Lepisosteus oculatus: one gene and its partners. The protein of the gene in region 1 purifies or fractionates together with the protein of each later gene. This does not show direct contact. Links are inferred from orthologs where the notes say so. Each region holds a gene or a part of one and is shown in the gene's direction. Other genes may lie near its edges.

What was found.
Region 2: the proteins of rcan1a (region 1) and ppp3ccb purify together in Homo sapiens (affinity purification with mass spectrometry; 3 studies listed by BioGRID and IntAct, counting the BioPlex papers as one, with this or other methods). This does not show direct contact. The link is inferred for Lepisosteus oculatus from reciprocal best matches to the Homo sapiens genes RCAN1 and PPP3CC.
Region 3: the proteins of rcan1a (region 1) and protein phosphatase 3 catalytic subunit alpha purify together in Homo sapiens (affinity purification with mass spectrometry; 5 studies listed by BioGRID and IntAct, counting the BioPlex papers as one, with this or other methods). This does not show direct contact. The link is inferred for Lepisosteus oculatus from reciprocal best matches to the Homo sapiens genes RCAN1 and PPP3CA.

Annotation. Positions count from the first base shown.
Region 1 is NC_090708.1:26,439,348-26,450,113, forward strand, and holds the start of rcan1a (calcipressin-1a), read left to right. Parts: upstream 1-5,336; 5' UTR 5,337-5,692; coding exon 5,693-5,812; intron 5,813-10,766. UniProt on the Homo sapiens protein: Inhibits calcineurin-dependent transcriptional responses by binding to the catalytic domain of calcineurin A. Could play a role during central nervous system development.
Region 2 is NC_090697.1:68,024,430-68,034,978, reverse strand, and holds the start of ppp3ccb (protein phosphatase 3, catalytic subunit, gamma isozyme, b), read left to right. Parts: upstream 1-6,100; 5' UTR 6,101-6,644; coding exon 6,645-6,696; intron 6,697-10,549. UniProt on the Homo sapiens protein: Calcium-dependent, calmodulin-stimulated protein phosphatase which plays an essential role in the transduction of intracellular Ca(2+)-mediated signals. Dephosphorylates and activates transcription factor NFATC1.
Region 3 is NC_090696.1:32,553,240-32,563,732, reverse strand, and holds the start of protein phosphatase 3 catalytic subunit alpha, read left to right. Parts: upstream 1-4,959; 5' UTR 4,960-4,965; coding exon 4,966-5,032; intron 5,033-10,493. UniProt on the Homo sapiens protein: Calcium-dependent, calmodulin-stimulated protein phosphatase which plays an essential role in the transduction of intracellular Ca(2+)-mediated signals. Many of the substrates contain a PxIxIT motif and/or a LxVP motif.

The DNA of each region.
Region 1 (10,766 bases):
TGTTCAGATCAGGACTTCTCCATTGGAGATACTTAATATACAAGCATTTCTCCCACTGACGGAAACTCAGATCTCAAAGTATAACGAGTGTGTGACAAACTGAACTTCTGGATGACCTAGTGTCCTGAAGTTTTTATTTTATTTGAACTCTGTTACATGACTGCTGTAATTATTTCATTAACAGAATAATCTAACGAGACCTGAAGGTGTTTTATAACAAACTGTACTCTACTGAGTTGTATTTTTAGAAAAAATGTTTATGTTTATGTGTAAAATATGTTTATGTCTGATAAAGAAATTAATTAGGTTAATTGCTTAGTGGACTACTCAGGTTGGATCAAAAACCACCAGACACAAGGCCCTCAACAAACTGAGCTGGACACCTCTGGTATAAATGAGTAGTTCTGTTCTGTTAGGTGTGCTTGAAGAATCCTACCAGACCAGGAATCCCTGCCTCTCCCTCAGGAATTGAGTCTTGATCCTTCAGTCTGTCAGGAAGAGACTTTCTGATTCTTCTGAGCCCAGGAGAGTATCTACTGCTCTTCTCTGGACTGATTCCAGAGCAGCAATGTTTTTTATTACTTGGTGTCTCAAAATCGTGCACTGTTCTGAATCAGAAAAGGAAAAGGTTTATTCCGTGCTGAAAAGAGAAGAAAAAAAACACAACATTTTGACTGTGGAGCCTTCTTCGGGCGTGTCCTCCACAGCCGAAACGTGTTTCTTTTCTTTTCTTTCCAGCCATGAATAAACCTGTACTTGCTCCTTTGCAGCCTACGCATGGTGACACAGCCATCTGCTTGCACTATTCTAAATGACCCCTAACCAGTGTATTATACAATATTAACATAACATCCCTTGTTTTAGAATATACGCTGTTAACTATATATCATAACGTTTGGGGCGCCTTTTTAATTCCTTTCCCACATTGTCTGCAAGAAGTAAACAGTCTCATGTAAATGTCCATTTTGCTCTAGATATGTGATATCTTTATGATGAGGAACAAGTTATAGGTTTATTCCATGCTGAAAAAAAAGAAGAAAGAGAACACAACGTTTCGGCCGAAACTAAAATTATTCTGCAGCTAGGATCACACATTCTCCCTTCCCTTAACGACAGACTACTGTTCTTTTAAATTTTCTCCATTCATTGGAAGTTTCATTTCACACCTCTCTGCACCCATTCTGACTTCACACCTCTTGATTGGCCTCTCTTTCTGTCCCCTGCTCCCGCCTCTCACTCCTCCTCCCTCCCAACCTTTGTTCTCCCACTACTTTACCTTTGTCTACTGCCCTGTCTCTCTCACACCTGAAGAAGGCTCCACGGCCGAAGCGTTGTGTTCTCTTTCTTCTTTTTTTCAGCATGGAATAAACCTATAACTTGTTCCTTTGCAGCCTACGCATGCTGACGCAGCTACCCACCTGAATCTTTATGATGAGCAGACATATACTAGAATGACAATGTGTCAGAGACTCCACCCCAGCTGTTATTTCTGCTGGTTACATCTTAGGTAACACGTGTTAGTAGCAGCAAACCCTTTGCATTCAATTCATGATGAAATCAAGCAGAAAATGTTACAAATACACAAGCATTTGATGTGTTGTTTTTTTTTTTATCACTGCGACATTTTGACCATGCCCCTGTGATATCTGAAACACAAATTCAATCCAATCCCTGAAACTGGGGTCTTCATACAATTGATACATGAATACCTTCTCCTGTCTACGTGAAAAGCTGTCTTGAGAAAAGCCGTGGTTTGAGAGTAACAGATAAGAGGAGACAGTTCTCTGATTGAGTGGTAGGTGTTTAATATCAGCAGTTAGAAACACTCCATTCGTCTGATAAAAAAAAACAGCGCTCTCTAGAGACGGGTGTGCTCAAAGGTTCAGTTTGTGAGGTGAATTCTTCGGTTGCCATTAAGGAAGAATAATAATTACACGCTTTACAGGTAATGGACTCCCCTCCACCACCAACAATGTGCAGAATCCACCTGGCTCTGTGGATCCTGACAAGTTCATCATTGCGGCCTGTTTCTGCTCAGTTTTGATTATAAATAATGCCACATATATAAAACAAGTATAGATTTTTTTTTTAGTTTGTCTGTTAAGGGGTATAAGTACACTATGAAAATCATTTCAAAAGTACTGTAGAAATAATGGAAAATAATTTGTGCCGCAATTGTATATCAATGAACAAACAGAAGTGTGATAAAGTTCAATATTGCGCATTGTCACTCCAGAGTTTTGATAGCCCTGTCAGTATCGGTGAAATAGCATGGCCATCTTTTTTCCTGCTCCCACAATCGCCTTGTGCCTCACGCTCTTAGGTTCAAACGCGCTTTTCACTTTTGGCCTGTTTCTGTCTCTTTTTAATTTGCGTCTTTCAGAAGACATCAGCTTGAGTTAATAGTGTTGGTATCTCCTGAGGATTTAAAATCCCTTGATTTAAATTGCACACTTTTAGCTACATATCCTAACATTATTGTTTACCTTCACCGATATTTCCTATAAGATGTAAATGAAATAACATATATTTATTTTTTCCTCGGTGTATGTGATATCTTTTTGATGAGCAGACAGCTTTTTTTTTCTTTCTGCCGAGGTTCTGCCGGTTACATCTCGGGTATCTCATCTGAAAGAGTTGTCATACAGCTTCAAGCCACTAGAGGGCTGTCTAGTGTTGTTGAGTGACAACACAGGACTGAAAACTGGACAGCAAGACCGAACTGGTAATATAAGAACGTTGTTCTGTGACTTAATGCTGTAAGTTACAAAAACAGTGATTACGACTGTGCATTCAAGAAGTGCACAGTAAATAATAAATGGAGATAAATACTAATAAAAATAATTAACATAAGTTGCTAGAAAGCTCCTTTAAATACGATGGTTAATATTTTATTAATGTTCATTTGGCTGTTAGTTTAGTTTCATCTATGAAGCTGAAAAGCTCAGCTCCCAGACTTGAAGCCAGCAACATATTTTCTGACACTGTACTCGCGTGATTCCTATAGTAGTTTTTTGGAATAATAATTTTATTGCAATTGAAATTGAAATGTGGGAGGCATGGTGGTGCAGTGGTTAGCTTTGCTGTCTTACAACTCTGGGGCCCTGGGTTCAATTCCAGATGTGGGGTGCTATCTGTGTGGAATTTGCAAACTCTCCCTGTGTCCATGTGGGGTTTCCTCAGGGTGCTCCAGTTTTCTTCCGCAGTGCAATGAGCTTCTGGCAGGTTAATTGACTTCTGGGAAAACTGGGCCTGGTGTGAGTGTCTGCGTCTGCCCTGCAGTAGACTAGCATCCTGTACAGGGTGTGTCCTGTCTTGTGCCTGTTGCTTGTTGGGATAGGCTCCTTTTTACCCTGCACATCTGTACTGGATAAAGCAGTAAGAAAATGAATGGATGGATGTTAATTAGAACTGGCAGCCTAGAGGGGATCCAGCATTTAATTTTAATATTAATACATTTCAGTAGAATGTTAGAATACCGTTCCTTGATTTTAATTTGACTCAGTTCATTATCTATCCCAGCATTCTGTTATCATTTCTACCACCCCTCTCTCCTGGGGGAGGAAAACGATGAGGCTACCTGATCACTCATGTTCCTTTTCACAGCCACAAGACCTGTGTCACCCATCTTATAATGTGTATTTCTGCTGCTTGACACTGGTCTGCATCACGTCCTGCCCAAATTTCCCATTGGCCTGTACAAATCATGGCCTCCTAATAATCTCCATCTATGAATTGGCTTCATTACTCTGTTCTCCTCCCCAGTAGCTGGTGTGTGGTGAGCGTAATGGAGCACTATGGCTGCCGGCACATCATCCAGGTGGATGCTGCACAGTGGTGGTGGTTGGGGGGAGTCCCCATTACCTGTAAAGCGCTTTAACTGGGGTGTCCAGAAAAGTGCTATATAAGTGGAAGCAATTATTATTATTATCACATTTTATTGGACCTGTATGAGCTGAGCCTGGTTCTGAGGAGTATCCAGTTCTATTCTGATTTGCATTTGCCTTTCCGGGTTCTACAGTGTTTGCAGTAGTTCCCAACTCCTTGTATTTTGGAATCCTGAAAAACAAAATCTGACAGGTCTGTTAGGTAAACCCGAGTAAAATGTGGTTATATAAATTAAGAAAAGCAAGGATTTAAACTCACATCTCTGAGGTACCCCACAAATTGGGGCAGGTCCGTTTTAATTGTCTCCCCTGATAGTTATTCTTATCCTTTTATTTAGTTACCAGTCCATGTGCACATATCTTGCTCAATTTAAGAGCTATTATTTAATGTGAAACTTAATACATTAAAAAAACTAAATGTACTACATCATACACTCTAATGGCATCCATTTCTGATGCAAGTCAAAGAAGTGAAATAAGTGAGTTCAACAAGATCTGCCCTTTCTGACTAACCTCTGTAAAACAATTCCTTTTCACTATTAATGGCTCTGGAAAACTCTTGATGCGAACGTTAAAGGCCTCGCCAACCCCGTGTTAAAACTAGCGTGGGCGCTGGACGGACAGGGACACCGAAAGAAACGAGCACGAAGGAAAACTAGGTGGTTTTCTTGACAAGAGGTCGCCAGAAACAAAGGAGTTCACCCCCAATCCCAGCAGTAAGTGAAATCAAGAGATGCAAACCCGAAAAGATGCAATTTATTTTGAGTCTTTTTTTTTCTCTAAAAAAATAGCAATAACAGTTATATCTGTTAATGTGAATGTATGTTTGTAGCGAGGGTCCTGATTCCGAGCAACTCCTGCAAATGAGGGTCCTGTTGTTAGTGTTGGGACACTGTTCTGGTAGATTACATTAATGATGCCAGGACACTTTAGAATATAGAACATCTCAGTACTACAGTCAGCACTGCACATTTAAATGACGTGTTATGGACTGTGTTATAGTTTCTACCTGACGCTGTATTCTGCCACACCCTTCCAATGAGCTCATATCAGTTTACTTCGAATTACTATGTTTTCACCACAGTGCTCTGTAGAGCGGCACAGCGGGTACCGCAAACCAGAATGTGTCCCAAGTGACTCCGCAGGTCTAGCAGGAAGAGTTTTGGCTCTGGTCGCAAGCTGTTAAAGGTTCCGAGGTTTGCATGCCAATAGCGCCGTTTTTAGAATTAATTCACATGCACACAGGGCATTGCACAGTTTAATTTATTCGTAATAATTCGTAGGTTTTTTACCGATTTATTTCGTACGTGCTGTGGCGAAAACGGAAGGAATATTTCAACCCAACAGAATATGACTTTAAAAGAAAAAGCACAACACCAAGCCACCAAAATCGTCGCTGTTACCGGGCAGACTGACGGAGCATGGCTAGGGAGGTGTGACAGGAAGTTCGTGAGGCGCTGCATCAGCGCAACTGGGAAACGAAATTGGACGTCATCAGCATGACGGAAAGAGATGTTGACGGATTTTGGCCAAGGGTCTAGCCGAGCTCCCCGTCAGATCTACTTAACACGGCCCTACAGTTGCATATGTCTTTAAGAAAACCGGTCCTGACAGACTACGGTTATTTTTTTCTTTCACGCTGAGTTCCGTTGCAAGCAGAAAGAAAGTGCGACGGGCTCATTCGGGGTGCGCTGTATGTGTTGAGCATCTGGAGGAAGCAGGGGCGGCTCTTGTCGCGGCGGCTCGCTGGGTGGGGAACTGTGCACAGCCTCTGGGGGACGCGTCTGACCATCCGCCTGCCCGTCATGCTACAGCAGGAGAAGAGCGAGGAGGAGGCCACGGTGGATGTCCATTTCACTGATCTGCCCGACGCGCTGATCGCCTGCAAGGTGGACCAGGACGTCTTTCTGGACCATCAGTTCAGGGTGAGGATGAAACAGCGGTTTTCCTTGTCTGTGCGTCTTATCGTGGTGGTGGGGGTGCACCAACACAAACACGTCTGCGCCTTTGACAGAGACCGGTAAGAGCAGCTGCAGCCAGGAGTGTCACTTAATAACACAACATTCAGTTTCATGCACCACAAAAGGGAGGGGTTAGCCCCCGTTTACAGGGTGTTCTAAGTTATCTACGCATGATAAACCTGAGCCGATCTGCCTGTTGTGCACATTCCTAATAGGTAATCATGCGCTCTCTAATTTTCCAGGGAAAACGCAACTCGTCTGTTTTTTTTTTTGTTGGAAAATTGCAGACCCTGAGGTGACGCGCGACTATTTTGAAGGACGAGCACATTTTGCTGTGTCCGGGTTAAGGATAGTGAAACGGCTAACGGTGAAAATAAATGCCTTTATACTGAATGGTTGCACTGAATGATTCAGGTTCTGAAATATATCTCGCTGTGTGTCAACTTTTTCTGTGCCTGAGTTTTAACTTCCTTTTATATTTTAAAGGACAGAGGTGTCACCACACCTACCTTTGACAAGGTTGAGGACTCAATTCAAGTGTCCATTATCAGAAAGGTTACAAACGAGTGGTGCCTGTCTGTTCCATGTTATACTTAGTGCTTAATTGATCCACAAATCTCATCCGGATGTTTCTTGCAAGAGACCTGGTGATCAGCTTGAACCACGTGGCTGGGCAGCTTGTTCCACACTCCCACAACACTTTGTGTAAAGACATACCCCCTGTTTTCAGTTTTAAGTGCAATCCCATGTACGTTCCACTTGTGTCCCCTATTATATGTTGTCACTTTCTTAAGAAGTCCGCTGGGTTGATCCTCTCAGTGACTCTGAGGATTATGAATACTTGAAGCAGGTCCCGTTGTAGTCTTCTCTGTTCAAGACTAAAAAGGTTCAGTTCCTTCAGCCTGTCAGTGCAGGACACTCCCTTCAGCCCCAGCGTGTATCTGGCAGCTCTTCTCTGGACTGATTCCAGAGTAGCAATATCATTTTTCATAACTTTATAGAAATAGATTTGCTCTTTTCTGAACCAGCCAGTGGGGTGGGGGTGTGGGGTAATTTAATCAATTAAGACTCTGTGGCCCCCAGGCAGGGTGTGAGCCCCCCCACCTGTCTTCAAATCTGGAAGCTCTCTGTCATGCTGTGCCACAGAGGAGCCCTGGGTTAGTGTGTCTAGTAGTGTGGAGCAGTGATTAGGACTAAGGACTCAAGACCAGAGGGTTGTGGGTTCAAGTCCCAGGTAGGACAATGCTGTTGTACCCTTGAGCAAGGTTATCTAGCCCTGTACCAGTGTAAGATTTCTTTGGATAGAAACATCAGAGGAATACAGTGACATAACCGATGCTTGGTTCTGACACGACACTCAGTGTTTTAACCATATAGGCCTACCTGGACTGATTCTTCATCCTTGGTGTACATTGTGCTGGGAGGAACTTCTGTAAATCCTGGAGAAAAGATCTGGGCACAAACTTTGTCCTTTAAACAAAGTTCTGCGGTCCATGTGCTACCGGGTGGATGCCTTGGGCTACCTGAGGTTTTTTTGGGGGTGTCTCTGTGGTTCTCAAATCGCGAGAGTGTGTTATATGAGGAAACATGTCTCCTGAAAGACCCAGTGAAGTATGTCAGACTCAACCCAGCACCTGGGCAGAGCTCTGGGTGGGAACTATAAGAAATGGACAACCAGCCTGCTGAGCTGCTGGAAAATTCACAGCGTCTGTGTGGAGGAGAGGTGCTGGGCGAGTCGTGTGTTTTCCCTGGGTGAGGGGCAGGAGCAGGGTGCTGAACTGAGGTAGGAAGGGGAAGGATCCACCAGTTCTAGCCCAGAAAGAGCTCCAGGAGCCCAGCTTGGATTCTCCATTTCTCCCCTTGTGGGCTCAGGGTGCGAGACGAGTGGTGGCCAACTATTACAGACTGGCGCTCTGGGTTCGAGACTGCCCCTTAACTGAGCAGTCGGTCACCCGCAGCAGCTCCGGCTCTGCCCCTGCTGGGCTCTATCCCTGGAGCGTGACTACGTCAGGGCAGTGTGGCAGCAGGGCTAGGGGCTGAGTAACGGGTACGACCCAGTGTTCAGTGTGGTGAAACAGTGCTTTCCAGTTCCTGATGGAAAACCGAGCCATGATGACTCAGGAATGGAATGTACTGTGCGGGAGATGGAGGTGCTATCAGTAGACTATCTGCAGAATGGTGGTGACAGCCTGGGATCTGGACTAATTGTTTACAGCAGGATGTTTCAGCTCTGAGCCAGGAGGCTCTGGTTGTGATTTCTTCGTCTCTTGAAAGCAGCAGCACCTGAAGAGACGGTGGCAGTTGATCCATTTTTCCAGTTCCAGGTCACTGATTGATTGAGGTCATTAAGAGCTGGGCTGGAATGTAAACCGACAGACACACTGGCCCAGAGGTGGCCTCTCCTGGGTTAAAAGGGGAAAAAGAGAAAGTTCAAGATCACTTACAAGAAAGCTACCAGTGATGTAGTTCTTCATTTGCCGTGCTGGAAATACCGTCATTGAAAAAGTATTATTTGTTGCATATGTGCACTGAAACACTGAAAGCCAAGACAAGCCCAAGTTAAGTTGTTGTTTCCGCCATTGCTTGGGGCGGAGCGGTGGCTCTGTGGCTAAGGATCTGCGCCTATAGCTAGAAGGTTGCCAGTTCAAATCCCGCAGCCGGCAGAGGAATCCTACTCCATTGGGCCCCTGAGCAAGGCCCTTAACCCATACTGCTCCAGGAGCGCCGTACACTGGCAGACCCTGCGCTCTGACCCCAGGCTCTCTCCCTACCTGTGTGTCTCATGGAGAGCAAGCTGGAGTATGTAAAAAGATAATTCCTAATGCAAGAAATTGTAAAGGGTTAATAAAGTAATGTTATTATTAGAATCAACCATCTTTTCACAGATGTCTTCGGTTGTTCTGGCCGTTCTTCACGGTTGGACCGCCAAAAGTGTCGATCAACGCTAGTCTGTGCTGTAATCCAGGCGTCGGTATTCAGAGCAAGTGACGTCTCTTCTTCCCGTGTGCGCTGTTCGATTCCGAGCCCATCTGAACCGGCATCACGGCAGGCGTCTTTCAGACTGTTTTAGAATCCGTTACTTAATTAAATATTGGCCAGAGAAGGAGAAGGAAACCTTGCAGAAAAAACGTGTTTTGTAGACCGAAGATTTCAGTGGTGCAGGTGAAGAATGTTTATTTCTGTTCCCTTTGACGTTCCCGAATCTGCGACTGGGACTCCTGATGGTGACGCACCGGCTTTTATTGCTCTTGGAGGGTACCGATCTCTGTCCTGCTGTCTTTAAAAGTGGGTGCCCTTTCAGCACCTCCACCCAGTCACAGGGCCACACGTATTTGTGTCTGTCAAGCCAGGTGCCTGCAGTGTTTTCTGGCTGTGTGATGTCTTTAGAAATCTCCAGAAGCTCTATTGGAAAGTTGCTGTGAGCCCGGTTCCTGTGTGGTCGCCGTTGGTCCGATCCCCTTTTAAAAAAACACAGTGTTGCGGTCTCACAGTTTCTGTGCACGGGTCACGTTGTCGGCGCAGTAAACACTTCATCATCTTGCATCTCGCTTGGAGAGACGTGACTCAGAGATCCTTATTCCAGGCGGCAAACATCTTTATTTGTCTTTCCAGCAGAGCTGAGGAATCTCATGACCGCGCGGTGAATTGGCCTTTGTTTGTGGAGGGTGTTTTATTCTGGAGTTTCCGGCTGCTCAAGCTGAGACAGAGCGGATCGTTGGCTCGCTGGAAGGCACCCTTCCTCCCAGGAACGGGGATCGGGGACAGGGCTGGACGGCCTGGAAACACTAACAGCTGGAATTGGGAATTTTTGCTTGCCTGTAAGCGAGCAAGAACACCTGCACATGCAGCAGGGGGGTGCAGTATAACCCCTTCCAGCAGGGCGTGCCCCTCGATTCCTCCCCAGAACCTCTCCGGCTCTTGCCACAATTGTCTAGCTCACACCTAGAGAGCCACGGCCTAGTGTCCTTTTCTAAAAACCAAAAGGAACTATAATAATGAAGCCGGTCGATCTTCCTGTGAACTCACAGTCCCTTCTAGGAGTTATGACTTGCTAAACGTTTCAACAACGTGCCACCTCTTACATTTATTGAATAATTCAGCACTATTACCACTTATCAGTAAGTGGTGGTGATCTGTAAAATGAACTGGACACCGCATCTGTGTCCAGGATCTGATAGGTAAACAACGCTGGTAGTTATACTGCCCATTTCCCCTGTTAGCCCCCAGGCAGATATTTATTTATGATGTACATATGAGCGGTGGTATGGTGGCAAAGTGGTTAACGTGGCTACCTTACCGGCTGGGGCCTTGGGTTCGGTTCCTAGGGTGCTGTCTGTATAGAGTTTATATTTTCTCCCCGTGTTCACACGGGTTTCCTCCCAGTGCTCAGGTTTCCTCCCACAGTCCAAAAACACGCTACTATAATTGCTAGGTCAATTGGATTCTGGGAAAAATTGACCCTGGAAGTGTGTGTAATTGCGTCTGTGAGTTTCCCGCCTTGGGTCTGTTGCTTGCTGGGCTAGGTTTTGTCTTCCCACAACCCTGAAAAAAGCAGATAGAAAATGGATGGATGGCAGGAAAAGAATATGTTAAACACAAGAGGAGGCCATTTTATTTAGTTGGGATGCCAAGTGGTTAATCGACTCCAGAACGTGGCTGGGTAGTTTGTTCCACACACTTGTGACTCTTTGTGTAAAGCTAAGGCTGACAAAATCCATTTTCTCAATGTCCATTTCAGGAGAATTCAGGCAGAAAAGAGTTACAGCCTATGGTGACCTGTCTGTGGAAGATACAGACTGGGTTTCATGATCGAATGGCTTGGAAAAACATGAGTCAGAGTTACAAGTCACCAGGATCGTGCCAACTTTCTCCACCTCAGCTTATGACTGCTGAGAAGTCCTGAGGCAGAAAGCCCCTA
Region 2 (10,549 bases), on another chromosome or scaffold:
CAGTTTCTCAGACCGGTTATTAAATCTCGGTAACAAAATGCCTTCGCTGACGGTATCACATTTTTTTCACCAAATTTCGTATTAATCAAAAAATGGCAAACTAAGTGAACATACTGTAAGTCGCCATGCTATCACAAACCACTGGTCTCACCACGGGACAGAGGGAGAGTTCCCATGAATTGTGACGTGAAGCAGCCCTTCCTGCTCACTAGTCACTGTTGATGACTCAATTGATGTGCGAGTGAATAAGTACAGGTTGTGCAGCAGACATTTCATTGCAGAAATGTTCCAATGTGATCTGCAGGCAGAGTTAACAAGTAAAACAAGTAAAAAGTGTCAGCAAAACCGTTACAAAATCTAGAGCAATATTTCTATTGGATTAAAAGAGATGTATTCACAAGCCCGCTTCTCTACTGTATAATAGGTTTGACATCACTGGATGTTTTGTTGCCACGTTCTGAATTGCTCAACATGGCAAAGCGCATACTGGGAATTTAGTCTATTTTGTGATGTAAATGAGTTTTTTCAAGTTACCGTGTACATTTTAGGTTTATTGTGTAAAATTGTATTTTAATTGTTGAAATGCACACATCAATGCTGATTCTTTCTAACTCTTACACTGAAATTTGAAAATTAAAAGATCCCATGACACTCGTAAGGGTAAGTGTGTAAACCCTTGTGTTCCAGCTTGCAGGAACTGGCATAACTTGACCACCTGAGTTGAACAGATTCTTGCTGCTGTGCCTGATCTGCTGTTTACTGGGGTTGCTGGCACACAATGACTGCCACCCAAGTGGTGGATGAAGCCGATCCCTTCTGTATGCACAGCTCTTTGATATCTTTAAGAATGAAAAGTGCTTTTATATATGCAAGGTGTTATTTATTAATTAAATAGTAAAAGATGTACAATAATCTCCCTAGAGATTCCCCATAGGGCTAATTCACTCTACATAGTGATTCCCAGGGGTTTTTTTTCCCCATAAAGGGCTATGATTCAGTTTTTATTCAAGGAAAGGAAAAATGAATGCTTTGAGGCAGAAAAGGATTTTGTGCACTTATACTGAAATTGATAGCTTTTCAGTAGTTTTATCAAACTTAGTAGTTTGAAACTACTTTCTAAAGTTCTAAACTACTAAGTTTTAAACTTTAAAAAAGTAGTTTCACAGAACTTGACAGTTTTATAAGACATGTGAAACTCCCTATTTATCACTTAATTAAATCGAAGACTTAAACAGCTGAACCTAGAACGGCACCAGATTTGTCATTTGCTCAAATCCCCCTGGATTGGACGCTTGGATGCTTGGATGAGTGTTGGCTGATGGACGGTTTGGTTGTTTGCCGCGCTTGGCTGTCAACAGCAGAGTCTGTGTACTGTAAATGTATCTAGCAGTGCTTATCAGAAGTACCTTTTGGTATGGGTGGGGCATTTGGTCACTTGCTGTTTTTTGAGGCACTTGTTGGATGGATGAACAGATGCTACCCAGTGTCTTCTTTCGTCTCTGTAAAGTTCAAAATGAACAGCATGCATGAGAATTTTGCAGTCCAGCTTCCAGACCGAGTTTTAAATGTGATCAAATATGCTTCCACCACCCTGTCAAACTGAAGATAACTGAAATGCGGTAAAAGGCTAGTTGATCTCCCAAAGAGCCCCATTCTTCTCACTTTTTTTTTACTTTACAAGAATATCTTGTAAAGAAGTCAAATATAAAACTCATTACATAGATTACACTGTACAAGTTTTGTCATGTACAAAATGCTGTAGGATAGAGCCTGTTTTCTGTTTTGAATTAGCTGTGTCAAACTGTTTTTAAAGTTTCTATAGACCAACGATGTTCGCTAATCATTTGGCAGCTCTTGAGTACTTTCCCTCATGACTATAGGAAGTTCAGTTTAGTTTTGATTTACAATGTTGCTTACCAAATTGTTAACCTGATGAAATTCAAGGTGCTGCATGTCATGTTTTAGTAGAATAAGCTAAAATTAAGAGGTTTTACATTACAGTTTCTGCTCATTAGAGGCATTGTGATTAGTTTAGCACCCTTACCTTATTAGAACACTTAGAAGAGTTTGTAATCTCTTCTGTAGCCTGTTAGAATGTGTATTCTTATCAATATTCTTAGATGATGGAGCTTTCAAATTTTGACAATTGTTTGTAGCAGAAAAACCTTTAGCTCTCATCTAAATGGAGTCACATCAACTGAATGAGCAACTTGTAGGTGTTGAATTATTTTTGGGAGCGGGCTTCAATGCCATTGGAGACTTTATGATGCACAATCATTGAAAATGTAAATGGAGAAACCAAAATGTGAGTTCTTGAAAAAGGAGAGAATGGGAGTCACAATGTTACTTGCCTGTTGATTTATTTAGTCTTCAGCAGGCTTTGGTTTCACATTCAAAATTCTTTTTTTTTTTTAGATACCCAATCTCCAGTTTCAAATGTTCAGTTGTGAGAAAAAGTTTGTGAAATGATCTGGATTTCTGCATGAATGGCTCCTAAAATGTGATCTGATCTTCATTTAAGTCTTAATAATAACTAAAGACAGTCTTATTGAACAAACAACACACACAACATTTTACATTGTCGTATCTTTATTGAACAAATGTCAAGGTCATTGATGGGAAAAGTAGGTGAACCTCTAGGATAATGACATCTTGAAAAGAGGGTAATTGGAGTCAGGTGTTCTAATCAATTCAGGTGTGGGTTTGACCTGCCCTGCCATATTAAAAAAATCTCAACTTTGGTTACCTGCTCTTCACAACAGAATTCTGTTGAACTGCAATATGGCCTCATCGAAAGAGATTTCAAAAGACTTCAGAAGAAGAGTTGTTGAAGCTCATAAGACTGGATTTCTGAAGACCTGGACCTCTGTCTGTCCACAGTCAGGCAGATTGTTTACAAATGGAAGAAATTCAGCACTGTTGCTACTCTCCCTAGGAGTGGGCATCCTACAAAGACTGGTAGCAAGGGCACATCATAAAATCCTCAAACAGGGGACAAAGAACCCTAGGGTGTCAGCTAAGGATCTGCAGGCATCTCTTGCACTTGATAATGTCTGTGTTCATGAGTCTACCATAAGAAACACTGAACAAGAGTGGTGTTCATGAGAGGTGACCATGAAGGAAACAACTGCTCTCCAAGAAAAACATTGCTGCCTGTCTCAACTTTGCTAAAGTCCACCTGGATGGTCCACATCACTACTGGAACAATGTTCTGTGGACAGATGAGACAATAAGTGAGCCTTTTGGTAAATATACTGTACATAGCGTTTTCTTTGGAGAAAACAAAACACCATATACCAATACCAAAACATCATCCCAGCTGTGAAGCATGGGAGTGGGAGTATAATGGTGTGGGGCTGCTTTGCTGGACAGCTTGCAATCATTGAGGGACTAATATATTCCAAGTTGTATCAGGATATTCTACAGCAGAAGGTCAGGGAATCTGTGATCTAAAACTCAAAAGAAGTTGGGTCATGCAACATGACAATGATCCAAAACACAGGAGTAAATCCACAACAGAGTGGCTCAAACAGAAGAAATTCCGTATTCTTCTGTATGAGAGTCCTGACCTCAATCCCATTGAAATGCTGTGGCGTGATCTGAAACAGACTGTTCAAGCAAGACATCCCAAAATTATACATGAAATGAAACCGTTTAGTATAGAGGAATGGGCCTAAATACCACCTAACCGAAGCATTTGGTTGAGATTATTGCCAATAAAGGGGGTTTCATTACTTACTAAATATAAGGGTTCACATACTTTTTCTATCAATGACCTTGATTGTTAAAACCATTTGTTCAATAACAATATGGCTATGTAAAATGTTGTGTGTGTTGTTTGTTAAATAATACTATATTTATTATTATGACTTAGATGAAGATCACATTTTAGGAGCCATTCATGCAGAAATCCATATAATTCCTAAGGGTCCACAAACTTTTTCTTACAACTGTATATATTATCTCTACAAAGATCAAGGTATAACATACCTGGTATTCAACTGGAAGAATACTGGAATACTGACAGTAATCCAAGAGTCCTGTATTGCCCTTATTATGAATGACGTCTTAAACCGTTATCCTCCAGAGAGCACAATTTATGTGTAACTCCTCAACTTTCTTTTAGGTTGTTCTTGTCAAGAGCTTCAATGTGTTTTTTGAGGATTTGGTGCTCAAACTGAAAATAAGCAAATGTGTTATTACATGTACGCGTCCTACATACTTACTACCTCTCCCATTAAGATGACTGGAGGGGGTGGGAGAGGATCTGTGCTGAACAAAAAGGGATAGGAAACAGCCTGCAGTTTAAGCATCTTAAAATGTATTTAAATATTTATTTAATACTGCTGAGCAAAGCTAAATTGACATACAAGTGTTTAGGAGAAAGTAAAAAAAAATGTTGTGTATGTCTCTTCTTTAGTGCATTTGTAGAAACCTGGTTAGCTTTTCTATTGTATATTTCCCCTAGTAAAGGCCTTTTTTTATTCAATTTAAATCTGTTGCTTTTTTTGTTTCTTAAGCCCCATGTCTGGAAATTGTTAGACAATGGCAAAACATTAAACCTCAGTGGTGTGTTCCATCTTTTGATTTTGTACTGTCCTTTGAGACTATAAATATTGCTGAACCTTTTCTTGTACGATCCAGATACCATGAAGAAGCCGTGTTCCTTCTTAGTCTAAATTCATTAAAACATCAATGTATAAAGATTTGGAAGTTTTATTATTCATTGAGTAGGTACTTTGTTATTTAAAGATTGCTTGAAACAGAAAAAAACCTAAATAATATTTAGCCCTTAAAGACCAGACTTCCTTTAAGATGACTAACTACTTGCTCAGGAGATCATTAGCCTAACAAGAGCTTCTGATCCCTAGAAATAGTTATTATACCATCATCTTTAAGACTTACTGGTTTGAGCTATGTTCTAATGGATATCCTCTAGCTTACCCAAGATGGATTCCTTTGCAGTTTCTGGTGTCTGAATGTCACCTACTACATTACATTATGTCAATCTTCAGGAACAAATACTGTCACTGGTGACGATAAATATCCAACCACCCCATATGCTGCTTCTTTAGACCTCAGTTTATAGTGATTGTTACAGTATACTATGCTCTACCATCATGAAATAAGACATAGAATGCCACCCTTGCTATTTTTTTTCTGTTGAGCACACACACACACAAAACCAAATGACATTGCTTCATTCTTACCATATTGTCGGGTGCCTGAAGAAATAGTTGAGTTAACCATCACTGTTACTGTGCAGACGTGATGCATTGTGTTGACCATCTTGATAGTCCTATGAGTGGTTGAGTAGATCTTGCTGGATCTTGAGTGGTATTGGCACTTGGCAGCATCAGTAGAGGAGTGGCCTTTCAACGACTTGGTCATTTCACCTCGCAACATCCATGACATCATTATTCCAAGAATGCATTACAACCATTGAGTTTCTGCTTCATTTGAAAAGTGCTTAAAAATGAACTTCAGCATTCTCACTGCACTTATCACCATTGTATGTGTAAATTCACAATTCCACATTTCTAAATTTCTGTCAGTAAATGTTGCAAATCATATTTGTGGGTCTGAACAGATGCAACTTTTCTGAAGTGTAGGAATATAATTTACAGTGTATGGATATTACAGAATGATTTATAATGGTTTTGCAATTTGTAAATCTGATATCGAAATCTGAAATTTAAGCACCATCTCTAGTGCTAGACAATGAATACTGTTCAGGAACATAAAAGTCGATTCAAGCTGCAGAACACACATCATTGTCATTTTAGTCAAAAGACCGCCAACGTTAAATAAAACACAACTTCCCGAAGGCCTTCATACTGTTTGTGTCTAAAGCAGCGCTTTCTGGAATATGTAGTTCAAAACGTGAACTGTCATTTAAAACAGTACTGAAGTCCTAAACTGCATTTCCCAGAAATCCACGGTGGCACCCTTTTAATCAAATACGATAATGCAGGTCTTTTTTGGGAAATGTAGTATTTTCTGTGACTCGAGCACGGTACTAGTTCTCCTCCCCTGCGGTATCAAGACTACTTTACCCAAAAGCCATTGCTTTCACGAGTTTCTTGCCGCCATGTTGTAGGAAATCCGCTTGTGGGGGGATTACAGAGTTTAATCCGAGAGAACAGGGACAGAGGCTGGAAGATAGAGCGAAGAGAGAGAGAGAGAAGAAAAAAACCCTAAAGCAGACATAGGCCCGAAAGCAGTGAAATACAGTCAAATAACCCAGCAGCTAAACACCGTGGCATTAAAAGACTTCGACTCGCCAAAATTGGGAGAGTGGATTTGCAAAACCGTTTTTTTTTTCCTGGCTACATTTTTTAAGTTAGCTGGTTTGGACTGATTCTGTGACAGAAATTGACAGCAGCTGGATAGCTAACGAAAAAGAAGAGAGGGGAGAGCAAAATTTGTCAGGAAAAAATAATTTCGTCGAGTAAAGTGGGTTTCCCCCCCTTTCCCCTTTCCCCTCACATTTTTTTTCACCTCCTAACTAACCAAGGAACTCCCATTTTGGGTTGTCCTGGTTTGCTGGATTTGAATTCGAGGGGAAATAAAAAAGGACAGAATAAGCGTACGCAGGGGGAAATATTAGAATACAAAATTCCTGAGGTGAGTCGAGGTGAAAGATGTCTGGGAAAGACCAGAATAAGCAATCCACCACCGAGCGGATTATAAAAGGTAAGTGGTCTTCTCTAACACGGAACAGCAACTTTTACTGTTTGTGTTTTCGTTTAGGGCGGGTTTTCTAAATAGCACGGCAATAATTAAGCTATCCAACGTGGACATGCATTCGTGTCACACCAGGATCGGGGTCGGCTAGCTGTAAAAAAATACATTTTTCTCCCCCCAACCAGAGTCGAGTACAGGCTGTAAATCTGCGGTGTGTATCGTCTTGTCCGAAATGCCAAGCTTAGCCATCTACAGTAGCTACGTCGCGTATTTCAACGAACATTTAAACTTTGCTGGTTATGTTTCCCATCGTACGTGTATTTATATCACACGAGGTTTGAAACAGGTTTTTGGTTCCATTCATCGTGCAAACCAGCTGCCGTTTAAGAGCACTCTTAAAACACAGCTGCGGTAGTAAAAGAAACGTATTATTATTTAATTTATCGTTTTATACTACTTTTATTTCTTTCTGGTTTGTCCAATTGTACAAATGACTTGTCCTGCTTTAACGTTTGTACGGAAGAAGTTCTAATCTGCCTTTCAGTTTAGCAGACCTCTGAAAAATCGTATTCATCCCCTAGAACTGCTGTCCGATTGAATTGAAGTTATGATTGCAAACGTGTATAGTGTAGTCGTGCATTTGAGTGTGTGCTTAAATAGCTTAGGTCATGTAAGACATATTTCCTAAGCTAATTTCTAATAATACATTGCATTTAGCGATCCAGAGCTGTCTTGCTGGAATAACAGCCAGCTGGCTTGGGGTGAACAGTATTGTTTGGCAGTTGAGCTCTGCGCCTTGACCAGCAGTCCTGACGCTAAGAGGTCTTGACGGAATGTGAAGAATTACTGCCCCATCTGGTCTAAGTGTAACAAGGTGAACGGGCTCGGATGAGCCTTGTCTGGGTCAGAACACAACGCAAAACAAAACTACATCAACAAAAATCCAGCTCCGTCAGGTTGCCATCCTGCGACTGGCGCCAAGCTTTTAAAATGCATCATTTCAATAGGCTCAGTATTGCCCGCACTCCCTTCCATTTTGGAAGCTTTTGCATTCTTTTAGAACCTGGAACGAGTGTAAAATGCTGCCTTCTATGGCACATCTCCGAGCAGAGGTCGTAAGGCGATTTGTAATTGGGAAAGGCTATTAGAGGAAATGAGTCCCGTGGGATTTGAATGAATCGCGATTTAAACGTCAGAAGCCCGGCAGTGAGGAGAACAGCCTTCTTCAAGACAGTGGAGTCAAAAGCTGCATGTGAACCTTTTTTTTGCCGTTTTCATAGGTGATAAATTGGGCAGTTTTTATACTTTACATGTAGGGTACAAGACTTGACTGTAACAAAACATAAAATTGAGTCAAAAAGGTTTTTTTCTTTATGGAGTGGTAACTCATTCACGTCTACTATATGAAAGAGAGAAAACCAGGCAGAGTTGTGGATGGGATAGGGTGTGTTAATTCTCAAGTTTTATGTTGAAGCAAGGAAACATGACAGAGCACAAGGGCAACAGAAGATGGAGGAGGGGGAGGTGTTGGTAGAAGTTCTTTAAAGTGCATGCCATGAAAACACACCCTGAAGCGACAGAGGTGGGGATGTTTTCTGTTTTGCTCCAAGAGAGCTAGCTGTTTGCATTCTGACACCACTGTTGGATCAGTGTGGGATTCACGCCTATCCATGCTAATTGATTCAGGGATGTTGCCGTAAAAGATTGTGTGATTAATCACGTTGAAACTAACGAATAAATCGGGCACAGCCAACCTTGGCACTCACATCTCTGTCTGAGGCAAGGCTAATCCTCAGTTATTTTAGTCACTTTCAGTGACAGAATCAGATAAGTTAATAAGAGTTCATTAATAAAACTATTTGGGTTTGCAAAGGAATGAAACGGAGGCTGTGAGTTTGCCCAATCTGTCAGTAAATGCTTCGTTACAGCTTTTAAATACAACATTAATATAGACTTTAGTGTTGGGAAGTTCATGTGTTCAGCAAGGGAAACACTTTAGTGATATTAATGATTCTTGTTTCATTAGAACAATCTATAGAAAGATGCAAATATCACGGAATTCACTGAACTGATATTTCCCATCCTCTTAGGGGGATAAATCTTTGTATTTTTTACCTTTTTGGTAATTTAGATATAGAGGTTGTTTTGTAATTTCATGTGCTGAAGAAGGAAGTAGAGTGTCTACCAGTTTTGCTTAGATTACATTTGCTTCAGGATTTCTAAAATATTTTCATGTCCATGAATTAAAAATTAGTTTAAATTAATTTAATATTAATAGTTAAGAATGAGGAAAGTACTGTTTCATTGCTTATGTACAGAGTTAGTAATCAATGTAGTTGGTTATTGATTTTATTTTACATAAAATATTAAGCATGGGGTGCAAAGATCTGTCATTAAGGGCTATATTAATGGAAGTTTTGTTTTGTGGGTATCTGCTTCATTTCAGTGGCTGCATATTGAATTTTTTATGTACAAGCTATGGAGAACAAAGCAAAGCAGTGTAAAATCTGAAAGGACTGCGATAGTCTGGAAAGACTGTGATATGAGACTACTTGAGCACGACTCCCACTGGCTAAAGAAATAAAGCAGTGCTTTATGAAACAAACGTGTTTTAACTCTGATTCTAATCATATCTTATTATAAAAAAATGCCAAAGAGATGAAACAATGTTCAGAGAATGAACATCTGATATAGTGTGCCATGGCTTCCCTTATAATAAGTGCCCTCCTCCGAGAGATTTTGGAGATCTTTCCAGCCTTTGTGTTCTCCTTCTGGCTCGGATTTAGAGTTGGGGAGCTGATCTTGATTCCTTGTATCTAATGGTGACCCTTTCCTCTCTCCATGTCTTGTCTGTGGATCGGGAAACTCCAGGTGAGGGCTAAGCTCTTGAAGCCTGTGACAATACAAACCTCAGCTTAGCACCGGCAGATGAGGAGAGCTGCCGTGGGTTTTGAAGCAAGTGATTCCTTGCACTGCACTGCACAAGAGAGAAAGTATTGCGTTTGACTGAGAAGACAGGGTGTACCCTAGGTCTGAAAAGGAGGATTTAATCAGTTACAGAACCTAGGTTTGTTGAAATACGCTTTGTAATACCATTCATATTAAAATGAAAAGCTTAAACTTGGAGGAAAAGTTAACCTTCAAAAAGCTAAGAAGAAACAGGATCAGCATGAGCTTATGAAAAACACGGCCTCATGCTGATGGTCTTGTAGAAGGCAGAAATTTATACTGTGGGCAGGTTGGGTTGAGAAGAGCGAGCTCCCAGTTTTACATTGGCTGAGCATGGTGTTTTAAAGGGTGATTTTTGTATTTGACTCCTGATTTTTTTTGTAAACAATTGCAGACGTTTACTGGTGCATAATCTTACATGAACAATGTAATGCTTATAATTTTGGCTTCCATTTGTAAATGGAAAACAGTGCGGGAGTTCACACTTGAGCAAATAGCTCTGAAAGATAGCCTTTTCAAGTTAGAAAGATTAGCATTTAGGTAGGTCTACAAATAAGTGGTAAAAAAGGGTAATGATTTTTTCATAATGTAGGCCATGTATTCGAGTGCTGCAAGGAAATTAAAGAGAAAGTACAGTTCTTAACCAGCAGTAGAAAGAACTTAGCAGTGTTCCACAAAGATCCCTTGCAGTATTCTATAACTTCAGGTCAAATTCTAATTTACAGCAATTGATAGTAAAACTTAAAATTAATGCAAATTATATTATTCGCTTTGTAATGATGGTTGGTTTTCTTTATTGATTTGAATTTTAATTGATAGAGTTTTCAGTCATTAACTTTTTTTATTTAAAAAAAACTTTCAGGAAAGGTATTTGATCTTGAAACCCTTTTGTGTAGTCATTTCAGTCTGTTTG
Region 3 (10,493 bases), on another chromosome or scaffold:
GCCAGATACCTTTACAGTTAGTGAGAGCAAGATGAAGTGGGATAGAATCAATTGGTGACGAGGGGAAAACACATGCACACATTTCCTAATTGAGCCTCAGAGATGGACTGAGAAGCTTCCAGCTTCTGTGAATCTTCAGGAATGCCTCTCAGACCAGGCTTATCCTGACACCACAAGCATGTAAAACCACAGATGAAGAAACCTTGGATGAAGACGAAGAGGTATAATGGTGTTCACAAACTATTAATTGGCATTACAGTACATATACCAGTAACAGATTAAACATTTCAGAAAGTGATTTTTAGGGGGCTAATGGTTAAACAATCCATTTGTAAGAGCAGAGGATTCAGTGTTGGTGTCTTTACCTATGTGAAAATGATTTGGATGTTGTAGTAAATTTATCACTGTCGTCATTCAGGATTTGTTAAGTGGTTAAGAATGTAAATTGGATAAGAGTATGCAATACTGAGGTTAAGGTAAACTTGTATTATACTTAAGATAGACCACACAGGCAACACTGTCTTCAGTTTAGAGACTTACTGTAGGTGCTTAAACTGAAATTATATACAGTATGCAGTTCACATATAATTTCAGTGATAAACCTGCAACCAAATGAAAATAAACACTCGCATGCTGAAAATCACATTTTACAGATATTAAATTAGCTAAAAGTCTTTATACTATGTAGGTAAGAACTCGTATGTGAGTATTGGTTAAGGCCATCAAAATATTGATGTAATGAACAAGGATCTACCGTAAATTATGGTACTACCAGCACAATCTGGGGTTACAAATAGCAGGTGGAATATGAAGAGGTGAAAAAAAATCTTAATAAAATATTGCAGTTTTCCCAGCTGATCAAATACTGAATTCAAGCCTCTAGGATCCTTGACCAACCAGTTTATGCTACATTACATTCTTTTTGCGGGAACTGATAGTGGCTTTGAGCTCCTGTACCTGTCTGTCTTAATCTCTCTTAATCTTTTCTCAGTAAAATAATTCTGTATATACTTTTCTTAACAAAGGTCTTAGAAACAGTAGACACACTCAGGAGTTGAAATATGTGTGTGGTATTGCCATTAACAATTACCTTAAAGCCTCCTTTAGTGTTTTCTGTTGTTATAACAACTTTACCTTAATAATACCTCATAGTTTGCGTAAGAAGAAACCATAGCTTCTTGCACGGAAGAAACTGGAATACTGAGCAAAACTGATAAAATGTAGAGAAAATACACAAAGTGTATCAGACTCATTTAGAAAATAATTGCTGTTCACATGCATTTACAATTGTTTTTTGCTTTCTTTAATAAAATTTTCACATTTTATAGTCAGTATACTATAAGGGCTAGGTAGAAGCAAACACTGTTAATTAAATTATTAAAATGTCATATATAGCAAAATAAAATATTTATTCTGTAATATGTAATGGTAAACTTTAAAAAGCTTTGAGGGTTTATGGTTTTACAGTTTTCAGATCATTATAATGTTGGGTTTTCAGGGTTGTTACTATGATACTGTACATCTGTGCATTGCATAACAGTAATATCTTGAACATTATATAACCATACCTTTAAATTTAATGGGGGTTTTGGCCAATAAAGCTCAATTAATTAATCTGTATGTTATGTAATGGTAAGTACAAACTAAACTCAAATGAACACACTGTGCCTTTTTATCTTTAATTAAAGAAATATCAATTATGGCACAAAATCTGTAATTAGGAGGTGTCATCAGGGCAGAGTATTACAGAGACCTAGAGCTCCTTCTAAGCCTACAATCCATTATTACCCTTTGTTGCCAAAATGAATATGAAATAATTTAAGCACACTTTAAAACATAATCTTCCATTGGTCTTACAGTAGGTATCACTAAAAGCATTATAAAACAGAACTGTGAAGATTTAAATCTTAGAGATACACTGCCATTCTATATATATTCTAGCTTTTCTAGCTATTTTGTTAGTCGAGGACGAAAACAAAATGGCAATATTACACCTTCCTTAGGTGATTAATGTACATTTTAGACATTTATATTTAGACATATTGGGGCAGTGCGGTGGCTCTGTGGCTAAGGATCTGTGCCTGTGGCTGGAAGGTTGCTGGTTCGTATTCCGTGGCTGGCAGAGGAATCCTACTCCATTAGGCCCCTGAGCAAGGCCCTTAACTCCAGCTGCTCCAGGGGCACCGTATAAATAGCTGACCCTGTGCTCTGGCCCCAAGTTTCTCTCCCTGTCTGTGTGTCTCTGTGTCTCATGGAGAGCAGGTTGGGGTATGCAAAAAGACAAATTCCTAATACAATAAATTGCATATGGCCAATAAAGTGATCTTATGTTTGTTAACATGTTTGAAACAAAAGTTTTAGAAGGCTAACACTAGCTTTAATAGTGCTTGGACAAAATCCAAAACAAAAGAAGCATATTGCCCCAGATGTATGACTTTATTGAACTTTTCCCAAAGTTACCTCAGATTTGATCTTTAAAATATGTTCTTGTTCTACTTGTGAAATGAGTGATTTACTTTTCACTTTGTGCTTTTACCTGTCTTAATTGATTAATGCCTCTACAACAGGTGTGATATACTGTGAACTCTATGAACTCAGTTTCAGAAGACACAGACAAATCATTGCAATGCCTTATTGATATTTTAGCTTTAACTCTCTTATTTTGAGGGAAGGACAGTTGGCTATATGGATGAGGAAGTTAAAATCTGCCTAGTCAATCTTGCTGTATTGGTGGTGGGAAAGTGTAAGTGCACCAAACACTGGCAAATAGTGGTCTGGTGGGTGTTATACCCAAGAGTTAGGGTCTCTAGCCATGGTCCCAGAGTGTCCCTATAATTATTTAAGATGGTGTTGTTTCACCAAGTAATTTAGAGATCATTCGGAACAAAAATTAAAATATTCTTCTTCGGTAAGAACCAGTGCACCCTTCATTACACATCACTTTCTTAATGAATCTGTTGTTTAAACAAGTGTTCCTGTTCTTTAAATAACGGATGATTTATTGTGACCTTTAAGAATAATTGGATTAAGTCTTTCCAGTACCATAGTTGGAGACTAGTGCCCCCAAGCCATTGATTGGTGGCAATAGGGTCTTATCCTGCTAGTAAACTTTCTTTATGTGCTCCTTATGTTGGCATGAATCGAGGAATAAACAACATTTTACACAATTTCAAATTGCTCTGGTGAGTTAATCATTTTCAGGCAAGAGTATAAGATGATTACTTTATTCATTGAAGCATGCCCATAAATTATGTGTTTTTTCTGTCCTTACATGTATATTTGAAATGATTGTTTTTGGTTTAAAAGTTTCCTGATGTATAGCAAAGAGCAGTTGTGAACAGAACATTATCTGTCGAAAGGCTGAAGGTTTCTAAGACTTAAGCATTCTGTAGAGACATTTATGTCTTTGACATTATATATTGTGGTGCTCTTTGCACTTTCCATTTACGTGCAGCAGCACAATAGTATGACATTTCAAATTTTTAGCCATTTTGTTTTAAGGTTAAAGACTGAAAGGTTTGTATTTTAAAGTACAAAACATTGTCTTTTAGCTTTAATTGGAATTGATTGGTTAATGTGATTGATAGGCTACTGCAACTATTATTAAATGGTTTCTCATGTATCATTTGTCTTGAGCTGTGATTGGGATTTAGAAGATCTGCCCTGTATAAAGTAAAGATTGCTAAATTAAATGATAAGTATGGTTTATTCTCATCCAAGCTAAGGTGTATTAACCAGATTTTTATAATCGTATAAAACGCTAGTGGAAGCTGTGAGTGATTCATACGTGTATTGTAAGATGTTTAAGATTTTTACATAGTACTGTAGGTCTGATAATTAAGGATTGTATAAGTTTCAGTGTTTCAGAACCTATTCTGCTGGACCAGTCAGAGCATATTAAATCATTTAAACTGGAGCCATGGACTACTACATCTCAGTTTAATTTAAATAAAATAATAATAAAATAACAAGAATGTAAAGGATTAGGAAATCTATAAAACAAACTTGTTTAAGTAGGACAATGAAGACATTTTGTGGGATTAATAATTTGCACATAAGGCAATGTTATTTAATATTTTCCTTTTATTTTCAGATATAAGTAGCATAGCATGTTATGCAATCATGTATAACCTGTCCTCTTTATACACTGTTTTGTAAACTAAAATTGACCTTGAGCATATCAATGAAGTAGCGTATTGTCCTATTGGTCTTAAGTGGTTTGTTTTCTGTAAGGAATTTTAGATGCGATTGGCTATCAGTTTTCCAGTCTTAATGTTTTAATGAGAAAACACATCCCATATAGCAAATTGAAAGTGAGATTGCTTGTGTTTTACAAAAATTGTTGCACTAAATTCTAAGTGATGTGCATTTCTGCTGGTGTGCTTTAGGATGCACAGTATTTAACTTCCAAAAGTCAACATCTTTTTAAAGTTTTTAATTACTTTAGTTCTTGTGTTTTGTGACTAAAGCTGCCATCTTGTTTGTAGAATTTATTTTTTGAAACTGGACCTGAATTTATTTGATCAGTGATTACCCTTGAATGCTGGATTCCTACTTTTAATTTTTAATAGTATGCAAGACGAATGAGGCTTGCGGTCAAACGCATCAATTAAAACCCTCATTTATCTCACTAGATTTCCTAGACTGCACATGTATGTTGCCATATTCTTTTTTTTAACAAACTGTCTTTGAGTCATTTCTTCAAGGAGGCAGGACAGTTTGCTTGGCGATAACCCCTAAAATGTGGAGCAGACTGAAATAGACACTGGGGCTCAGGGAATAGCTTCCAGTTCTGTACCTTCTGCTTAATATCTGTCACATTTCTTTCCTGCCTGTGGTTCTTGTTGTTGCACTTTTCCTTGACACTGAACCGTTTGGGAGGTGTCTTACTGTTGAAATTTGTGCAGCTCTTCCAGGAGGCTTCAGTGTATCTCTCCTGTCCTCTCTATCTAATCGGCGAGCTCAATGTTGGCAATGGCTTCTTCTTTTTATTTTGCGGAGAGGGTGAATAAAGTGGGAAATGCGAAGAGAGGTAAAAGACAAATGCCGTCTTAAGAGTCGTTTTTGTATTTTGTAGCAGTTGGGTTGTTTTATTTTAAGGGCAGAAACCTGAATTCTGCCAGGTTCAGCCTTAAAGCGATGTAGGTTTTTGTAATTGCAAATGTGAGTATTGAAATGTGACTACAGTATTGACAGAGCTTATCAGGACTTAGGCTCTCATATAAGATTGGTGGCATGAAAAGTGAATCATTAGTAAGAAAAGCTTGAAACTTGTGAAGATTAAGCCTTCGTTGAAAGGATAGGGAGGGCTTTACATTAATAGCTGTAATTTGTAGTTTGAACATGTACAGTACAAGATACATGTCTAAAATGCTTCCTTGTCAGTATTGAGAAGAATTAAAATTTATATCTATCACTTTCTAAATTGGAGTTTGCTTATAGGAAAGTGAAGTCATGACTTCATTTGTTGTATAGTACTGCGTGCCCTCTTTCTGAGTGATTGTTAAATCCTCAAAATGTGTTAAAGCCTGTTGTACAGAAACAATAACTTGAATCATTGGCACTCTTTCATGACATTTCAGAATACTTTTCAAGGGTTGTATATTTCACGGTATAAATAGACATTCAGCATTCATTTTTCTAATGTGTGTTTTAAACTCCATTGAGATTTCACCTGCCATTTCTTATTACATTATGTTGGTAGACCTAAAATGCAGTGTAGCCTGTACTTTTTTTGTCCCACAAGCTGATTTGTTTTAATGTTATTCATATATTACCACTTGAAATCTAGAACTGTATTAAGCAAGAAATATATTTAAAACCTATACAAATGACAGATATGTTAACCAATAATTCATAGTGGTTTTTGTTTAAAGGCCACTGGATTATTTGTAACTCAATTTGTACAGTGTAATTTATTTTTTCTAGTGGAGCGTTCTTGTTTACTTTACGTCCATGCTATTAGAGCCTAGAATGGTGCATTTGTTGCATCTGTGTTTTCTCTTCCAAGTGTTGAAGCTCATTTTGTCACTTGTGCTGTGCCATGTATTTACTTGTCACACACCAATTGCAACTACTGGGTTGTGAGTCCAGACCTTGGCCAGTTGTCAAGTACTCTTGTTAATTTTATTTCCCAAGGGATTCAAAAGAGACTGACACTGAAAGATGTAGTGATTGAAACATGTATTAGTTATGCCTCTCTTAAATGTTTCTGCCCCATGTTGCAAGGTCTCTTCTTAAATTGCTCTACCTTAAATGCTGTGTTTTTTAAGCGATCTTAAAATAATGTGCCCTTGATACTGTGAAGCTTTTATTTATTAGAGCAAATCTGCAAGAAAACTTGTGCCTACTTTAGGGGACTGTTTCTGGAAAAAAGAGCTTAACAGCAAGGCCACAATTGTTCAGAGCCTCAGGTAAAACTCCATGTGGAGGAGTATTTTTGGAATTTGGGTTACAGATTTCCCAGGAGTATTAAGAATAGAGAGCAACCAAACAAGTATTTTTTTTTGGAATGAACACAAATTAATGGGGAATTTGGGCAACACTGAGAGCCTTTTCTGTTTAATTTCAAATTAATTGCTCTATATGTTAAAAATGTGATCGCAATGTCTTTAATTAGTACAATTTACAAATATTCCCTGTTTTTGTGCTCAAAAGTTCTAATGTGTTAAGAAAACAATTTGTTTTGACTAATATTAAAAACAGGGCAGCATGGTGGCATGGAGTTTAGATTTTCTTCCTGTGTTTGTGTAGTTTTATGCCCACAGTCCAGATATACTGCTAGGTTAATTGAATTCTGGTAAATTGGCCCTGGTGTGAGTGTTTTCACCTCTGTGGTTGTGTGTTTGTGTACCCTGTGAAGGACTGGCAATCCAGCCTTGTGTCAGTTGCTCTGTGGGACGGGCTACTGCTTCCCCTCGCTCCAGAATTGGATGAAGCAGTTAGAAAATGGAAGGATGGAATATTAAAGACATATTCAAAATGGACATTCATACAATTCTTTTGCTATACACACAGCGATTACTATTGAAAGTTTTCCCATTGAAACACTTTAAGATTACAAAAGGAGCAGTCTTTGTTTTTGTCTGATCTGTTGTACAACAGGATACTTAGACATAGCTCTACTTTTGTTATACAGTATATCATTGTGATAAGCTGACACTTCCAAGCAACATAATGGCAGAGTAAATTGTTTATTTTATACACTGTGTTACAGAGAGCTGGACAAGGATTACAGTGAGAGAAGATACTGTGATCTCACATGAAGAAAGTGGCTTGTTAACCACTACCCTTAGTTCAAGTTGTAAGGGATTTTGATTTAAGATTTTGATTATGGTTTGATTATAACACCACCAATGAATCTATATCACATATTTATAAGTACAGCAAATTATAATTTAATGAGTGCACAAAGTTGTATCTGGTGTACTTTCACATCGTAGGTTATTGTAGTAAAAGGATATTAACATGGCAAGTCTATAGTGTGGATTCTTATCTTAAGTCCATTATTTTTTATAATGGCCTGGAAAAGCTCAGATAAGTTATGCCTGCTGTTCCACTTTATTGTTCCAGATCTATGGTAGCTAGTTAAATAAAACCAAATTCCTACAGTTAGTGAAATATTTGCTTTGGGAGATCTTAAAATTTAAACTAAAATCTCATATTAGAACACCCAAGCTTTGCTATAATTACTGAAACTGTGCTCTGCAAGACAGATCCTAAAATAGATAGCTCAAAAATGATTGAGAAAGCTGTATTTACATAGTTTACTTAAACTCCTCAGTCCCTATGAACAAATGCATTGTTGATATAAGGTTGTATCTACTGTATGGAAAGAAAATCAATTGCAAATTCATATTTTCTTAGGTGACTAGTCCTAAACAATATGAAATACCATTAATGAAAATAAGAGGAAAAGGCTAGAAGAAAATATTTTATGATTGTATAGAATCTTATCTCGTAGGATTGGGACCTTGCAAATTGTGGGGCATTTTTTGCCAGGATTTAAGGGCAACCAAAACCTCACTAAATGCAAAGTTTGTCTGAAATTTCAGAAATACTGCTAGTTGTAACTTATTTTGACAGACTTAAAATAAACCACCCATTAACAGTTTGTTATGAAGTGGATAACTGTGTATGTACAAGACATTCTACAAAATGATGCAAGTACAATCTGTAAAAACCGAAATAGTGTGGAAGAAATAATTAATACAGTTGTAATACCAATTCATTTTATCATTGCTGATATGAAAATTGAACTAGCTTGTGATTAAGTGTCTGTATAGGTATGGGTGTCTGTATAGGTTGGAATTTGTCAAATCCAGATTATGCATACTATTACTATTAATGTAATATCTTATTAAAGGTGTACTTTCATTTTAATTTTCAGACAGTTGCTGCTTTGTCTTTTGTTAGATCTTTATAGGATTGCAGTTGTTGCAAAAATTGATCAGTGAAAGGTTGAATGTGCAGTGGTTGGAGAATTGACAGAAAATAGAAAGGCTTGAGTAATGAACCAGCAGTTGTGTGCTTTCAGTTAAGGAGTCGAGCACATATACCCTTCTGTTTCGTCCCCATCTGCATCAACAGCCGCCTTCAGAAAAAGACACATTCATTATGCATTCAGAAGATTCACAAACGCTCACAATTAAAATACGAAAAGAGATACTCAAACTCTCATGTTTGTGCTGCACTGTGCCGAGTGAATGTCTTACCTCTGGTCTGCATTCTAATCGCTTAATTACTTGTGGTCTCTTTCTTTCAGCTGTTGAAATGATATTTTCCCTTCAGTGTAATCATATTACTTTTAGCTAGTTTATATTTAGTGTATATTGAACTTGGACTTCTGTAAAATGTATGATGACCGGAGGTAATGTTAGCACTTTATAGCATATGTAATCTTGTTGGATCTGGGAAGCTGAGCAAAACTGGTGCTGAGTACTAGGATTGGAGGGTTGAGAGGAGCTGCGTGAACTCCTCTGAGAAACTCCGGAAAAAAGAAGCCTTCTTAGTATGGTGACATTAGACAAATATTGTTTTGGGTGGGACATTAAACTGTGCTCCTGTGTGCTTGGCCGTTAAAGATTCCATGGCACCGTTCATAAGAGCATGGGTGTTAACCCTGGTTTCCTGGCTAAATTCCACTTTGGCCTTGCCCAGTCTGATCTGCCTCAGTTCGGTTGATGAACAAATTTCCTGACAAAGAAAAGAAATGAGCTGTAGGTGCATAATGGGTGTCCATGTAACCCAGGTGGGTACTGTACTTATTTGGTAGATGAAATGGGCCCCCTTCCGCATGTAAAGCTCTTTAGAAACCTTTGGGACAGAAATCACTGTATCAATTCAAGTTATCATTTAGATTCAGGAAGCACCACCAATGAGAAAATTCTTCATGTTTCCCAAGAATGAATAAAACATTGCCTTATCTTACATTCTAAATCACCATCGTCATGCCTTTTGGCAACATTAGGAGTGAACCTGTTTTATATCTAATTTCTACAGGCACACTAAAAAAAACATTGATTGTTTTCTTTGTTAAATGATCTTATCATCTTATCATATCTCATACCGAGCAATGTCTTAACACATTAGAAGGGTTTTTTACAGGTTGACAGCAATTCCTGCGTGAAAGCAGTGATTCTAAATATATTGGCATATGAGTGCTTTTTTTGTTGTTTAATGCATTTTCCATTGTATTTTACTTTTTGGATTTTTTACTTGTTTTACTAAGGCAAGAAAAATATTGTGTGCAAACAAGACTTCACAACATACCATTTTTGGAAACGTCTGTATAAGAAGCATTTCCATCATGTTAAGTAAGCTCTTTTTTCCTCAAACATTACTAATTTCCTTCACAGAATCCTTCTGTTGAACCTATATTGTTGTATAAACCCCTATTCTTTTGTAGAGCCAATACAGTAGGGGTTACATGGAGGTATTCCCCTGATAAGTTTACTCTCCCTGGACTCCTCCTATTTACTCAAATTCCCCTTGGTCTGCCAGTGATGATCAGTCCTCCCTCTCCTGTAGCTTCTTCTGTCTCCTTTTTGCACCATTTACTACAGCTGGTAAGCATTGAGAAGACCTCTAAGTCATGACTAATGTTTTTTTTTGTATGCATACTGATGTACAAAAGAAATGTCTGTGAGCTGTCAAAGTGTTGCCCCCAAACGGCATTTGAGCTTGCAGATCATTTTCATGCAGACACTAAGCTACAGTTATTCTACTGATACACTGGTTATTTCTTCCTGCTGTAGCCAGAGTACTGTGATAAAGATTACACAGGTGGATCAGATGGTTATCCTTTGCCTTTCAGAAAGAGCCCTGTACCTCACACAGCCTGGTTCCTGATTTCTCTGTTGAAACAGAACATCTCGTTCTTCAATCATCTTTTTTTTCAGGCATGCTGCCTTCAAACACGCTGCTAGCAGTCAGGCAATCATCGTAAGCTCAAATGGGAACAGTGCTCTTTTGCTGTTCTTATGATAATTGAA